Tamandua tetradactyla: one gene and its partner. Each later gene encodes a partner of the first gene's protein in a complex. Links are inferred from orthologs where the notes say so. Each region holds a gene or a part of one and is shown in the gene's direction. Other genes may lie near its edges.

What was found. The genes of interacting proteins can lie anywhere in the genome.
Region 2: POLR2E (region 1) and POLR1B share a complex: the UniProt entries of both Homo sapiens proteins name them as parts of the pol I pre-initiation complex. The link is inferred for Tamandua tetradactyla from reciprocal best matches to the Homo sapiens genes POLR2E and POLR1B.

What each region holds. Positions count from the first base shown.
Region 1 is NC_135337.1:81,867,245-81,874,789, forward strand, and holds the start of POLR2E (DNA-directed RNA polymerases I, II, and III subunit RPABC1), read left to right. Parts: upstream 1-4,543; 5' UTR 4,544-4,718; intron 4,719-7,350; exon of another isoform or gene 7,351-7,413; 5' UTR 7,414-7,545. Other genes in the region: SBNO2 (protein strawberry notch homolog 2), read left to right, coding at 1-328. UniProt on the Homo sapiens protein: DNA-dependent RNA polymerase catalyzes the transcription of DNA into RNA using the four ribonucleoside triphosphates as substrates.
Region 2 is NC_135343.1:496,692-504,580, reverse strand, and holds the start of POLR1B (DNA-directed RNA polymerase I subunit RPA2), read left to right. Parts: upstream 1-4,871; 5' UTR 4,872-4,898; coding exon 4,899-5,072; intron 5,073-6,220; coding exon 6,221-6,388; intron 6,389-6,625; coding exon 6,626-6,772; intron 6,773-7,889. UniProt on the Homo sapiens protein: Catalytic core component of RNA polymerase I (Pol I), a DNA-dependent RNA polymerase which synthesizes ribosomal RNA precursors using the four ribonucleoside triphosphates as substrates.

The sequences.
Region 1 (7,545 bases):
CTACAGCCCGCCAGCCGAGGCCCTGGCGCCCGCTGCGCACTTCACCTTCCCGCCGCTGGGCCTGGAGCCCGCAGCCCCCGGCTCCCTGCTGCTTGGCGCCCCCAGTGCCCTGGCCCCCGCTGTGCGGGCCGACCCCACTGACCTCCTGCAGCAAGGCTGCGACATTAACTTCAAGGAGGTGCTGGAGGACATGCTGCGCTCTCTGCATGCAGCACCCCCCACTGCCCAGCCGGGGCCACTGGGGGGTGGTGGAGGGCCACTAGGGGGTGCGGGGGTGGCAGGGCGGCAGAGTGTCATCCAGTTTAGCCCCCCCTTTGCCAACTCCTAGGCCCCAGGCAAGCAGGACTTCTTTAGGGATCATGGTTCACCTCTGTAGGTGGTGGGCAGGGCTAAGTTCCCCTGCCTGCCGCTGATGGAAAGGTCCGGTGCCCTCATCCAGCCCCCCGGCAGCCGGCCACTGCAGTGCCTTCCCAGAAGCCCTGATCCTCCGGGTTCTCAGGGTCCAGTGCCTGAGCAGCCCCCCAGACGCTGGCTGGTCCTGCAGGGGGGAGTACCCCTCAAGGCCTCACCTGGTAGGGACACTGCCCAGCTCACGACTTGGGGTGCAGGGGCTGAGGGGTCCACAACCTCTGTGCCTCTGGCCTCTCCATCCTCCCAGGCCTCGGACAGGGGGTCTGAGCAGGCTGCTTTAGGATCAAGAGCCCCTAGCTCTGCTCCTCCTCCCACCTTTGGAGGTCCCTGCCTCAAATTTCGTGAAACTGGGTGGTCCCAAGAGCTGGAAACTCAGGAAACCCCAGGTGCTCAGAGCCATCCCCCCAGCCTTGGCGTGGCTCATGGGGCAGCCCCCCTCCCCATTAATATATGCAACCCTCCATCTTCCTTCCCTTGCTCCCTAAATTATTGCTCGGCCACTGCCCCAGGACCCTGGGAGTCCACCTGGGGCAGCAGGGAGCAGTCCTCTGGTTTCTACGTGTATTTATAACTTGTGTATATATGTAAACAGATCTTTTTTTTAAATATATGTGCCTTTTGACTACTTCCCAAAGTCTGCTCGTCCTGCCTGCTGGTTTGTATTTGCTCCAAAGCAAGACAGGGACCAGCACAGCTAGAACAAGGCCCACCTAGAAATGCGGCTGAGAGTTATGGGCTCCCCTAGGGGTGAAACCAGCCCACCTTGACCTGGCCTACATCACACCCCCTGGCTCACGCCTACCTGAGGGACCATTGTTTACTGTGGTTGTGGTACCAGTTCTTAAGGCAGCTGCTACTGGCCAGCCTGTGTCAGGGCCCATTCACCTTGGCTTCAGGTACTGTGCCCCAGCAGCATCCAGGCTAGGGAGTTCTGCCTGGGACCCTCTTCCTTAGCTCCTCCTTTAGGCACAGACCACCTCTTGGGGACTCTGTACAGCCCCCAAGGGCAGATCCTCAACATGACTGCCAGCTCTTCAGGTCCCAGGCCATCCCTACCCCTCCTAAGAGGGACCCAGAGATAGCTGTACCTTTACAACAGTTCACTTTCCCCTGGATGGGACTAGATGGAGCCCAGAGGGTAGGCATGGGTACCCTGGGCTAATGCCTACACCACGAGATTGGCAAGTAGAGCAGCCTGGCTCACTGCCTAGACCAGCTTGGCCATCTAATGGGTTAAGGCCTCGTGCCTGGACAAGCAGCCCGTTGGGAGGAATTTCCAGGAACTGGCCATGCCCTGATGTCAACCCAGGACTGAGCTGCAGAAATCCCAATTCGAGCTGCCCCAGCAGGAATGGCCATGGGGCTCCCCCTGTGGATGCAGGAGGTCCAAGCAGGCCTGTTTGTAAATTTTATTCCCACAAGGCAGCCAGGGGTGGGGGCACCCTGCCACGCCGGCAGCCGGGTCCTTCCTCCAGCAGAGGTTGCACGCCAGGTTCTCAGGTCTGCCCCACCAGTGGGCTGGTTTGCAGGCAGGCCATCATGGGTGCTGGGTGGAAGGCTCCAGGACTGCAGGCAGGGGCACGGGTGGGGGACACGAAGATGGCACACACTTGTAGAACTAGAGATAACAGGGCAGGTCCTTCTCTATCACCTGTGGGAGAAGAGGGAGATCAGGACAGCTGATGGAGCACTCCTACCCACCCCCGGCTCCCTCAAACGGCACCTACCAGGGGCTCTTCCATGGGACCATATCGCTTCACCACACAGCCATTCTTGTCAATGAGGAACTGTGAGGGGTAGTCAGGGATGCAGATTCCTGCCTGCGAGGCCCCTCACTACCTGCTGTCCTATTTGTGCCAAGGTGGGGCCATGGGCCAGTGGGGGTGAGGCACGAAGGCTGTGGCTGATAGCCCAGGGGAGTTGGGCTGGATTGGGGGGATTAGAAGGGAAAGTAGAGGGCAGAAGTGGGAGTCTCCTCTTCCAGCTGGTGACCTCCTTACCTTAGTGAAGTTCCATTTTATGGCGCTGCAGAAAAGAGGCCCAAGGTCAGGAGGGCTCCCTAGAGGGGTTCAGCCCCCCACCCCCACCCCCGCAGCTGGGTGGGGAGCACTTACTTTCCCAGGATGCCCCTCCCCTTTGGCTGGATTTTCATCCACTTCCATAGCGGGTGGGCATCGTCCCCGTTCACGCAGATCTTGCTGAACATATCGAACTTGACGTTGTAGCCGGCTGCAAACTCTTTGATCTCCGCATTGCTTCCTGGCTCCTGCAGACAGCCAGGGCACTGGGAGTGGGGCAAGGGCCTGCCCCACCCCTCCCACACCATCGTCCTGCTGTCCTGAGTCCTGACCCGCACCTGGGTCCCAAACCTTCTACCCACTCCCAGTTGCCCTCCCCCTCCTGTCCTGTCCTCAGGGACCACGCACCTGCTTCCCAAACTGGTTGCAGGGGAAGGCCAGGATACGTAAACCACACTCAGCATATCGGGCGTGCAGGTCGACGAGCTGAGTGTAGTTTACGTCTGTCTTGCCTCATTGAGAGGCCACATTGGTGACGATGCACACGCAGCCCCTGGAGACGAGGGAAGCGTGGTCAGGGGGCGCTGGTGCTACCCTTCGGGGTGCCCCGTTTCCCTCCCTGGGCTGGCCGGCAAGCACGCACCGGTACTTGTCCAAGCACACCATGTGCCCATCGATGTCCTTGGCGGAGAACTCATGCATGGAGCGGGCACAGCGCCAGTCGTCCCGGGACGCGCACTGCGAGGCAAAGACACGCTGGGGGCCAGGCGCGGGGCAGCTACCCCACCGCGCACCTCCAGAGAACGGCCCTTCGCGCCCCAAGGAAGCCACGGCCCAGGACTAGAGGAAAGTGCCGCCCCCAACGGCCACGCCCCCTCCCCGCCCGCGGAGCGGGGTCCATTTTACAGAATTAACTGGGGCCGCAAGAGGGTCCGTGACCCTGCAAGGCTCCGGAATCACGCAAGGCTCCGGGATCCCGGCAGGCGCCGCCGGTCCCGGGCTCTCGCAGGGGGATCTCTTCCTCCGGGGGCGCGGTCTCCGGCGCCGACAGGCCCGGGTCTTCCGCCTGCCGGCCTTCCGCCTGCGGGGCTGTCGCCTGGGGCCTCTGCCCAACGACCTGCCCCGGCGGCTGCACCGCTTCCCGCGGCGGCCCCGGGAGCGGGCAGCTGCGCGGCCCATGCCCGCCCCTCTCCGCCCGCCTGTGCCCCAGCGCGCTGTGCGGGGGGCGGGAAAAGGGCCCGTAGCCAGGGCGCCCGGGGCCAGCGCTCTGTGACGTTGTCGCCCTGGGCCCCGGGGGGAGGGGCGCTGAGACGCGGCGCGTGACCCGAGTTTCCCTGCTCGATGGCCCCGCCCTCGAGGCCAAAGCCCGGGTGCGCAGAGGACTGGCCGCCCAGCCGATCCCGCTAGCCGCCTACACCCCCCCAGGCTTCCGGACACCGACGCCAACACTCCCACCCAGCCCTGGGACACTGTGTCCAGCCCACAGCCCATCCCCGAAGCCCAGGGAAACGAACCTGACCCTCCCACCGCACCCGTGCCTTCCCATCCCCAGCCGGCCTCCCCCACCCCCGATCCCGCACTGGCTACCTGCCCAACGCCCCAGACAGGCCCGGCGGCCGCGTACAAAGTGAATGGGTACGGTCCCCCGCTGCGCCCCCGGCCCGGGGCTGGTGGGAGGGGAGAAACGGACAGGAGCCCCCCCCCGGGGGGACGCCGCACCCCCGGCTCCCGGGCTCCCGCGAGCGGCCCAACGGCTCCCGGCTCCGGCCCTGCGTGCCTGCTCACCATGGTGCCGGCCAGGCCGGGAACTGCCAGCGCCCCGCACAGCAGCGCGGGTTTAAGCAGACGGCACAGGCGGCTAAGGCTCATCGCGGCGGTGGGGGCGCGGAGCGCGGCGGCTCCTCCCTTTGACCGACCGACCAATGGCCACGCGCCGGCGCCCCGCACCTTCCCGCCTTCGGCCACGCCCACCTACGCCCTCATTGGCGGGCCATGGATGCGTGCAACTGGTGACCAATGGTGGGGCGGGGGCGGTCTGCGGCTCTGTTGTCGGTAGCCACTGCGCATGCTCTCCTGGGTGGGTGGTTGAGTTCACGCCGCCGCGCGTCGGGATTGCGGGCGGTTGTGCGAGCGGCGGGAGGGAGAGAATGCCTCCCACTCTCCCCGAGGGCACGGGGTGGGGGGTGGGAAAGGTCGTCCAAACCGCCAGGAAGCGCGCCCAAATTCCCGGGAATACTCTCACGGTCACGCAGGTGTGCGCCCAGAAAAAAACACGCCGGAGTTCTCCAGGCATGTGACTTCCCATCCCCCACGTGGTTTGCGTATATTTCCAACACGGGGCAACTTCCTTTTAGCGCGTCCAAACAAGGCCCGGCCGTTGGACCACAGGGGCACGGCAGACCCACCACCTTTTGGGTCCCGTGAGTTATGCAGCACCCCCAACTCCCCTCCCCGCGTCACGGGACTGGCCCTTGGGAGAGTTTCTGCTTTCTGCCGTCTGGTGGCAGAGGCAAAGAAGGGAGGGTCACCAGGTCACCCGCTAATGTGGAACCTCATAAGGTCCATTTCTCAACACAGCCCTCCTCCGCGGGGTCAGTAGGGGCCTGCTTCTCTGAGTCTCTTGGCATGGTGGCCGTGGGCTCCGTGGGGCCCCCCTCACTTCCTAGGAACTCCCACCCAGTCCTCGCCGCCCTCGGAAGTGCCCAGTGCCCTGACCACACTGGGCTTGCCCTAAGGCTCAGATGTTCTCAGTTTTGCTTGGATCTGTAAACACCTTCCCCGAAAGGCTGATTTTTTTTTCAGTGTTGTCAAAAACACAGGGCGCCGCCCTCCTAGAGCCAGGGGCGGAGAGAGGAAAGATAGAAAGACCGCTGCACCCAGCCCTGGCCGCAGGCCATCACCTCCCCAAGGGGCCTGGGCGAGGTGGAAGCTGTGGGGTGGGGGTGGGAGGGGTTGGAGCCCAGCTGTACTCTGGCCAGAGGGTCGAGGTCTGTCCTGAGTTGCCACCAGTCTACAGGGCCTGTCCTATGACCTAGTTTTTTTGTAATCCTCTCGTTTTGAAATAAAATTCGCCATTTTAACTACGTATAACATGTCCAGTTCTGTGGATTTTAGTATATTCACAATGTTGTGCAACCTTCACCACTGTCTGGCTCCAGATCATTCTCATCACCCGAAAAAGGGGACCCCATGCCTGTCGGCTGCCACTCCCCAGCCCCACTCCAGACCCCAGTGACCTCAAATCTCCTTTCTGTCCGTGTGGGTTTGCCTGGCCAGGACGTTCCTTATCAGTTGGAATCAGACGAGCTTTGTGCTTTGTTCTTTGCTTCTTTCACTCTGCAGAATGTCTTCAGAGTCCAAGTGGGAACAAAAGGTGATACTTGTCCTTTTTATGGCCGAATAATAGCCCATTGTAGGGATCAGTCATATTTTGTCCATCTGCTGGTGGATATTGGGTTGTTTCCACTTTTTCCGCCATGACATCCTGCTGTGAACACGAGTCTGTGCGTGGACATGGGTTTTAATTTATCTCGGGGATTGCTGGGCCTCACAGGGTGCAACCCTCTGAGGAGCCCGCTTGCCCCCCCTCCTCCGTCTCCACCCCTTCCCTCCCCTGGCTTCCCCAAGGAACCCCGAGGCCACCTGGAACATGCACTCTCTAGCCAAGGCCACTGCTTCTTGGGCTTAGCCTTTGTCACCTGCATTTACCCTCATTCCTGAGTGCCCTTTCTCCCATTGCCAGCAGCTCTGTCTGCAGCTCCAGTCCCTTCACCCCTGCACACCTGCCCCAGCCCCTCCCTGCAGCTGCCTGGTCAAAGACACAAAGCAAGTCTCGACTTGGTGGCCGCCCCCTCCTCCCCTGCTTTCTGGGACACCTGGCAGCCTCCTCCTTCCCCTCCACCTTTATCCTACTTAGGAAGCTCTCGGCCATGCCTGCGTCCTGGGCACTGAGCGCAGTTATTGGCCGGCTCTCCAAGGAAGCAGGTGTTGGTCCAGTCCCTATTTTGTCTGGCGGGAGCACCCAGGCACTAGAGAGGTTAAGAAGTCACACAGCTAGGGCTGGAGCGCAGGCAGCTGCCCCAGGGTCTGGCCAGCCCCTCTGCCTTCTGCCGCCCCCGCTCCCGGTGCCAGGCCAGGATCTGTCGCCAAAGGCACAGCTAATGTTGGGGCATCCTGGGCATTGGGGGTGCTTATCAGGGTCTCTGGGCACCCCCTCCCCAGTCGTGACACCCACAGATATCTCCAGAAATCCCTAGGGGTCCTCTTCAGGACAGTTGCCACCATGATCTTCACCGTGAACTCCACAGATCCTCCTCCCTCCTTCCACCTCCCCTCAAAGTCCCACGGAGCCTCAAATTCCACTGCCCAAGACCCCTGTCCCCACCTACCCCCCCCCCATTATCCCATCTCCATCGGGGCCACCTCCATTCTCCCCGGCATGACCCCACGCTCCATCCATCTGCAAATACCATGGGCTCTGCCTTCAGGAGACACCAGGTCGCCCTCAGCTTACAGTTCCCCCAGTCCCTATCCCCACATCTGGCCGGTGGCCCCTTCCCACTATCACCCAGCCCCCAGCGCTGTCCCCAAAACAGCAGCTCCAAACATTGCAGTGGCTGAACAGAAAACCTGCACTTGACAACCAAACCGCAGACCTCCCTGGCTCTGCCCCCCTCAGCCCCGACCGTCCCTCCTTGTGGCCCCCCACCTCTTGCTGCCAACACACCGGGCAAGGCCCGGCCTTGGGTACGCTGGCCTGTACCCTTGGCCCGACACCCTGTCCCTAGACCCCAAGCTGCTCCCACCCAGTCCTGTTTCAGGGACTTGCTTAAACCTTTCTTCAGGGCCTTCCTTGAGGTCCCCACTTGACTCCGCAGCCCCCTCAAGTCTCCCTGACCCTGCCTTGCTTCTCTTTCTGCAGCCTCATCACTTTCTATTGTACATTCATTTATGTTTATGGCTCTGTGTCACCTTTTGCTGAAAGGAGAAATGGGGGAGACCTGGCCGGGACTGCTCCAGCCACTCCACAGTGGAGCCTGTTGAGATTTGGAAGAAAGAAGCACTGCACACCAGGTGATAAGTCCTCAGACCTTTACTTGGGAACTTACAGAGAGCT
Region 2 (7,889 bases), on another chromosome or scaffold:
AGTGACCTGGGCTGGGGGTGGGTGGGTTGACCCGCTCCACTGTGGTTCTCCAGCTTGGTCTGTTTGGCAGAGGCCACTCTTACTGACCATCCTGGAGAGGGTCCTTTCCTTAGGCTGGGCAGAAATGCTCGTGTCATGGGGAAGCACATGATGATCTCCTTCTGACCATCACTTGTTCAGACGGTATTCAGGAATCTTTGCAGCCCTTTTGAGCATTTTCTTTGTGTGTGTCTTTGCATCTTGCCCAGTGGGTCACTATCTTTAAAGGTAGGGAGGGATAAGCCTATCCAGGAATAGGTTGTTAATCACTAATACAATGTTAGCCAGCATTTATCAATGCTAGTTTCAGTCTTTTAAAATTGGCTATACCATCTTGGATAACCGAGATGACAACTGCAAATCTGTGATCTTAGGAGCCACTGAAAACATGTCTAAACCCAAAATTCCACTTACGTAATATAACAGACATCAGCTCTGGATCTTACTGCACTTAACTCCAACAGGCATGATAAAGTTACGGAAGACCGGCCTCCTTGATTTCCAGCCGTTGGAGGCAGGCTCTGGGGAGGGGCCTTCACACTAGGTGGGAGGAAAGGGTGTGGGGGCGCCTGCCAAGGGGTCAGCTTTGGAACAGGCTTCATGGACTCATAAGGCAACAGAAAAGCCACAAACCACCTTCAAGAGCCCAATAACTTCCAAAGAATCGTCCCTTCTTTGCCTACCTCTGAAATCAGGAAACAGTCTAAACAGTTCTCACTGCTGTGAGTAACGAGATTAACTGAGACGCTTCTGTGACTCCACTGGTGGGTCTGGAATGGGAGTTTCCAAGTCCAAGTGGGGTTTGTTTCCGTCACTCCCCACTGTACTCCTACCTGAGGCTGTTTCATTCCGCTTCACAGTTGTAGACACGTTCTGTTAACTTTAAATTGTGCATTTAAAATTCATTCTCAGATGTATTTTAAATTGGTTCTTAGAAACCTATGTCTTATGAAAATGAAAATATCAATTAATAATGGAAATAAGTATTTTATCAGTTGACTAGAACTATAGAATTGTTCCAAAATGATCAAAGCCACCAAAATAATCACCGAATATACACATCCAGTGTGAATGTGTTCAGGTACTTGACAGGATTTAAAAATATTTATTTTTATTCATAAATCTGAACATAGAAACATCCCACACATCATCACATAATTGTGTATTCATCACCATGATCCTTTTCAGAACACCTGCTCCAGAAAAACAAATAAAAAAATCCATCCATACATACTCATTGCCTCTCCCTCTCACTGACCACTAGTACTTCAATCTACCCAATTTATTTTAACCTTTGCCCCCCCCCATTATTTGTTCATTCTCCATCCGTACCCTGGATAAAGGGAGCATCAGCTGCAAGGTTTTCACAATCACACAGTCACATTGTAAAACTAAATCTTTATACAGTTGTCTTCAAGAACCAAATCTACTGGAACACAGCTCTACAGTTTCAGGTGCTTCCCTCCAGCCTCTCCAATACATAAACTAAAAAGGGATATCTATATAATGCGTAAGAATAACCTCCAGGATAACCTCTCGACTCATTTTGAAATCTCTCAGCCACTGAAACTTTGTCTCATTTCTCTCTTCCCCCTTGTGGTCAAGAAGGCTTTCTCAATTCCTGATGCTGGGCCTCAGCTCATCCCGGGGTTTTGGTCTCACGTTGCCAGGGAGATGTACACCCCTGGGAGTCGTGTCCCACGTGGGGGGTGGGGGGTGGGGGAGGGCTGTGAGTTCACGTGCCGTGTCGGCTTAGAGAGAGGCCACATCGCAGCAACAAAAGAGGTTCTCTGGGGGTGACTCTTAGGACCAATTTTAAGTAGGCTTAGCCTATCTTTTGCAGGGATAGTTCCACAGGAGCAAACCCCAAGATCAAGGGCTTGGCCTATTGAATTGGTTGTCTCCACTGCTTTCAGGAATATGTGAAATTCTCCGATTGGGGAAGTTGAATATTTCCTCCTCTTCCCAGTGCCCAAAGGGAATTTTGCAAGTGCTTCTTTATTCACTGCCCAGATCACTCTGGGATATATCGGGGCATCACACTAACCTCGACAACCAACAAAATCTCATACCCTATTCAAGATTCCATGTACTTTTAGTGTTCAACTAAACTGACCCCACAAGTTAAATTAGGAAATGCACTACCCAAAATATGTTTTGCACCCAAAAAAAATCCCTCTCTTTGGTCTCACAGAGAAGCTGAACTTTCAAAATATGAATAATATCATCCTTTACTCTGTATTCTGATTTACCTTAGTCCCATCCAGATCAGCTTCATTCATCGATTCTTCCTTCATAGGACTTTTGTGACTAGGAGCAGTACGTGATTATCTGATATGAATCCTAGTCACTCAGTAATAGCTAAAAGTGAGAAACAAAGCTTTTACCCCAGCAGTCTCTGATGGAAAAAGATGCCAAGTATACATTCTAACTAGTAGGGAATTTCATTCTGTGTCCCCTCCTTGGGTCACAAACATGGCCTTGGGACCAGAAAGTAAGTTCTCAAGAAACAAAAGGATGGGCACATCTCAAAGGTCACAGGAGTCACCTGAGACAGTTCCCAAAGGCCAAAGCGGGAACAATCTGAGCCCCCCAAAAAAAGACGTAGTATGAAAATATAACCCAAAGAACAAACATGAAATGATACTGATATAGATGACTGAATAATAAATAAGGGGAGAGGAGACACGTAGTCACGTGTGTAGATATGAACCGTCTACAGGACACAGAAGTCAATTCCCACCTCAGCCCTGAAGAAGGGGCTGGGCCTAGTGACCGGCCTCTGAAGAACAGAGGACGGAGAGGGAAGCACACTACCTCAAAGCCAAAGAGACCAGGCAGACACGACCTCGACCCAGTGCTGAAGGTCAGCCTCACCAGGGACGGGGCTTCCATGCACCCCTGTGTGCCCAAGACCTCCCCTCCAGCATCCTCCCAGCCACGCCCTGGGGTCACCCAGGGAAGACAACAAAGAAACCCAAACTGGGATACAATGCCCAAGACACCTGGACAGTCGCCACAGCACTGCCAAGGTCGTGAAAATCAAGGAAAAACTAAAACGCTATCACAGATCAGAGGGGACAGGGGCAACAGGACAACCAAATGCAATGTAACACCTTGGATTGGGTCCTGGGACAGAAAGAGGACATTAATGGGGAAAAAAATTAGAAATTCAAATAAAATATGGAATTTGGTTAAAAGCAATGCATCAATGTCTCTTTCTTAGTTTTGACAAATAGACTATGGTCCCACAACAAAGAATTATCGAGCTCAAAATGTCGATAGTGGCGGATGCCTGGGTGGTTCAGTGGTAGAATGCGCGCCTTCCACGAGGGAGACCCGGGTTTGATTCCCGGGCCATGCACCACCCCCACCCCCAAAACGTCAGTAACCCCAACACTGGAAAACTCCTGGACTGAGATGACAGCAGTAGAGGTGTCAGAATCAGCCAAGGTCAGGCCATGTTTGGGAGATACAGCCCACAAGATGTGATGCTATTCCAAAAGTAGGGGAGGGAGGGAGGGAGGGAGGGAGAGAGAGAGAGAGAGAGGGAGGGAGGGAGGGAGAGAGGGAGAGAGAGAGAGAGAGAGGGAGGGAGAGAGAGAGAGGGAGAGGGAGAGAGAGAGGGAGGGAGAGAGAGAGAGAGGGAGAGAGGGAGAGAGAGAGAGGGAGAGAGAGAGGGAGGGAGAGAGCCAGCACTGCTTCAGACATCTAAAGTGTGAGGTGGCCATTGATCCCCAGGGACGGTGTTAGGTGGAGAGCTGGGTATAGACGGATGGGGTGGTGGATAGATGGATGGATGGTAGAAGGATGGATGGATGATGGATGGGTGGGTGAGGGAGGGATGATGGATGGACGGATGGATGATTGATAGATGGATGGATGATGGACGGATGATTGATGGGTGGATCATGGACGGATGGATGATTGATAGATGGATGGATGATGGACGGATGATTGATGGGTGGATGAGGGATGGGTGGATCATGGACGGATGGATGATTGATAGATGGATGGATGATGGACAGATGATGATAGATGGATGGTAGAAGGATGGATGGATGATGGATGGGTGGGTGAGGGAGGGATGATGGATGGACGGATGGATGATTGATAGATGGATGGATGATGGACGGATGATTGATGGGTGGATGAGGGATGGGTGGATCATGGACGGATGGATGACTGATAGATGGATGGATGATGGACAGATGATGATAGATGGATGGTAGAAGGATGGATGGAAGATGGATGGGTGGATGATGGACGGATGATGGACGGATGACGGACGGACAGTCCAAGCAGGGAGAGGCTGGAGAAGAGACCTGGCCAGCCCTGAGCCCTGGGGCGCTGTAGCGTCCAGAGGCGGGAGGCGGGAGAACTCTGGGGACGGAATACGCTGCCTTGTAAGAAGCGAAGGGAGCTGCACCCGGCGGAGGACCCGCCCACGGAGCCAAGCGCAGCGAGGGGCCGGGGAGGTTCCGATGACCCGCCGCGCGGGGACGCAGCGCGCCAGGCGAGCGCGGGGGCGGCGGCGGCGAGCCGGGCGGCGCTCGGTCCTCGGCCTGGGCTGGGCTGGGGGCCGCGGGCAGGGCCGGAAGCGCGCAGTCGGTGCGCCGCCCGCCGAGCACGCCGCAGACGGCGGCCCCTCCGCGGGGGCGGGCAGGGGGCGCCGCGCACCTTCGCCTCGGCGCCGCGCAGCTTGACCCGGGCCCTTCCTTTCGGGGCTCGGCTTCCTAGTCGGCCAGGGAAACGCGAGGGACAGCAGGGCGGGCGGAGCGGGCGCGACGCACTTCCGGCGCGCGGCCCGAGGCCCTTCCGGCGCGCATGCCGCCCCGAGGTTCGGCCGCAGGCGTGCGATGGGTCCCGGCGGCTCGGGGCGCGGAGTCCCCGGGCCCAGCCTGAGGCACCTGACCGACCCCGCCTACGGGGCCCCGCGCGAACAGCAGGAGCCCGCCTTGCAGGAGCTGACGCGGGCGCACGTGGAGTCCTTCAACTACGCGGTGCACGAGGGGCTGGGCCGCGCGGTGCAGGTGAGGGCGGCGCCCCGCTGCTCGAGGCGGGCGGGGAGAGGCCGGGCGCGCCCAGCACGGCCGCCGGGGCTCGGGCTCCGTCGTGTTTCGAGGCGCCGTGCATGCGCCGGGAGCGGACTGGCGGAGGAGCGGGTGCGAGGGGCGGCCTTTGGCCCCTGGAGACCTGTCCGGTTGCGAACGGGGAGTTGGGCTTGTGGTTTTCTGGGTTTGTGGGTGACTGCGAACTGTGCGGATTCTGGGTCCTGAGGCCGGGAGGAGGCCACGCGCTGTCGCTGTGCTTCCCGACCGTTCACGCCGTGCGGACTTCTATACCGCGGGACCGCTTTCCTCGAAAGGTGTTGAGCCTGTTCCTGCGTGGGCTGTGAAGTGCTGGGTCCTCTCTCAGCTTTCTTTCTTTTTCCCCGCTTAGCGCTTTAGAGAAGAAAACCACGCTCTGAATGAGTCAGGTGTCGAGGAAAACGTGAGTGAGCTGTAGAGGCAGGGTTTCTTGTGGCACTCCCGGGAAAGTAGGACGTCCTCTGCAGTAGAAAAGGTGTCAGGCATCTTACTCGCCTGTGCTCAGCCCTAAGTGGTCGAGAAGGTGGTGGGGAAAGGTCTCGCCTGATGATCGCGCCTGGCTGTGAGGGGAACGGGGACGCAGAGCTTGCTTTTGAGTGTCGGTTTCACGGGGGGCCGGGTGGGGGTCTGAGACAGGGATTCTCCTGAGAACTGCTCGGCCCAGGTTGAGTAGCTGCTGTCGGTGCATATAGGAAATGCAGCCAGGTGTATGAGAAAGGTCCAGATTCGGGGAGTCGAAGGGAAGAGGAGAGTTCATTCCCTCCAGTGAAAGTGAAGGAGCAGAACCGCATTCTCAGGGAACGCTCTGCGGCCTGACGTTTCTGTTGAGTAGAATTTGTGTTTTCAGTAAGAATTGAGATAACATGAAGGACTTTGGTTGTCAGACTCGGGTACTTGCATTCTTTTCTGCAGGTAATGTGGGGGCCGTTGCAGTTTATGTTCCAAAGCAATTGGCTGTAGCCGGTTTTTTTAGATGTGTTATCACCTTGGCACTATAAGCATCAGTGCATGTAGAACACATGGGGTCTCAGAGTCTTTGAGAAAAAGTGCCCTGGAAGTGCAGTCATTTAACAGTGTGAATTGTATTTCAGGCTATACCTCCCTTCGAATTTGCTTTCCAAGATGAGCGCCTCTCTCTTACTATTGTGGATGCTGCCATCAGCCCACCCACAGTTCCAAAAGGGAGCATCTGTAAAGAGCTTAAGGTTTACCCAGCAGAATGCCGAGGCCGAAGGAGTACCTACCGGGGGAGATTGACAGTGAGTACACATGACATCGTGGCTCTGACACTTCACAACTCTGGTTAAGGGTGTATCTTATGAGTTTATACCGGAATGCTTTCTTAGTACAGTGATCTAGGAGAACCCGTCTTTTAAATCTAAATCATAAAATAATTTGTGGTCTTTTTCCTCACTGTTTTGAAATTCTCATTTTTTCTCGAAGATCCAGATAATTTTTCTTTTTTATTAAGTAATTTTTTTCTCATTTTTATTTAGGCTGATATCAGTTGGGCAGTGAATGGAATCTCAAAAGGAGTTATTAAACAGTTTCTTGGCTATGTTCCCATTATGGTGAAATCTAAGCTTTGCAACTTACACGGCCTTCCTCCAAAAGCCCTCATCGAGCACCATGAGGAAGCAGAGGTGATTGCTGGGACCCGGTGCCCTGAAAGGTCCTGTGGTAGGAGGGAGCAGGTTTGGGAGTGAGAAACCCTGAGGCTTCTTGGGAGTCAGTTTTTCTTTCTCTGCTCCCATTTCTCGGTACATAAAATGGGACGTGATGTCTTGTCTCCATCCTGCATAGGGCTTAGGATGTGACAGTTCAGATGAGTCGGTATATGAAAGTGTCGCTGTGCTATCCAGGAGTGTTTTTGCTGTGGCAGAAGAATTTGCAGATTTTCCTCTATTTTCTGAACGATGCAAATTTAAAGACATAATTCCAGGAAATTTGTCTGCTTTTTAACTTTTTATTTTGAAATAATTTCAAACTTAAGCCAAGTTGTAAAAATAATACAAAACCAATAGAGAACTCCCAAATACCCCCTACCCAGAATTATGATCTTTTAACATTTTATCACATTTTTTATCTCATTCTGTCTCAATCTGTTTTTCTAAACATTGGGCATAGGTTACATATATCATGTTCCTTTAACATTAATGCTTCCATGTATATTTCTTGAGAACAGCAATACTCGTTTATGTAACCACATTTAAATTCAGTTATCAAGTCCAAGAAATTTAATGTTGATAGTAAAGCGTACACTCTATATTCCAGCTTTTTCACTTGTCCCAATATTGTCCTTTTGGGCATTTTCTCCTCCGTTATTAGAGCCAGTCCAGGATCATGTCAATTGTTGTTGTCTCTTTTAAAAATTGTGATTTTACAGATTTCCCTTCTCAGCCACTCCCGAATTTCCAGTTCATTGGGGTTGGTTACATGCATATGTCTTGCTACCCTCACCACCCTCAATTACCACAACATCCTATCATCCCAAACTGAAAGACCATGCTCTGAACGCATTATGCATTATTGGGTTGATAGACACTTCCATCTTTTAGCACTTGTGAATAATACTGCTTCCATCTTGTAGCACTTGTGGATAATGGCGCTATGAACACGGTGTACAAATATCTGTCGAGTTCCTGCTTCCAGTTCTTTTGAGTATATATACCAAGTAGTGGGATTGGGAAAGTAACCTGATTTCCTTCCATATTCCCTCCCATGTCCCTGGAATCTTTTTCCAGTACTTGAGGAGACTGT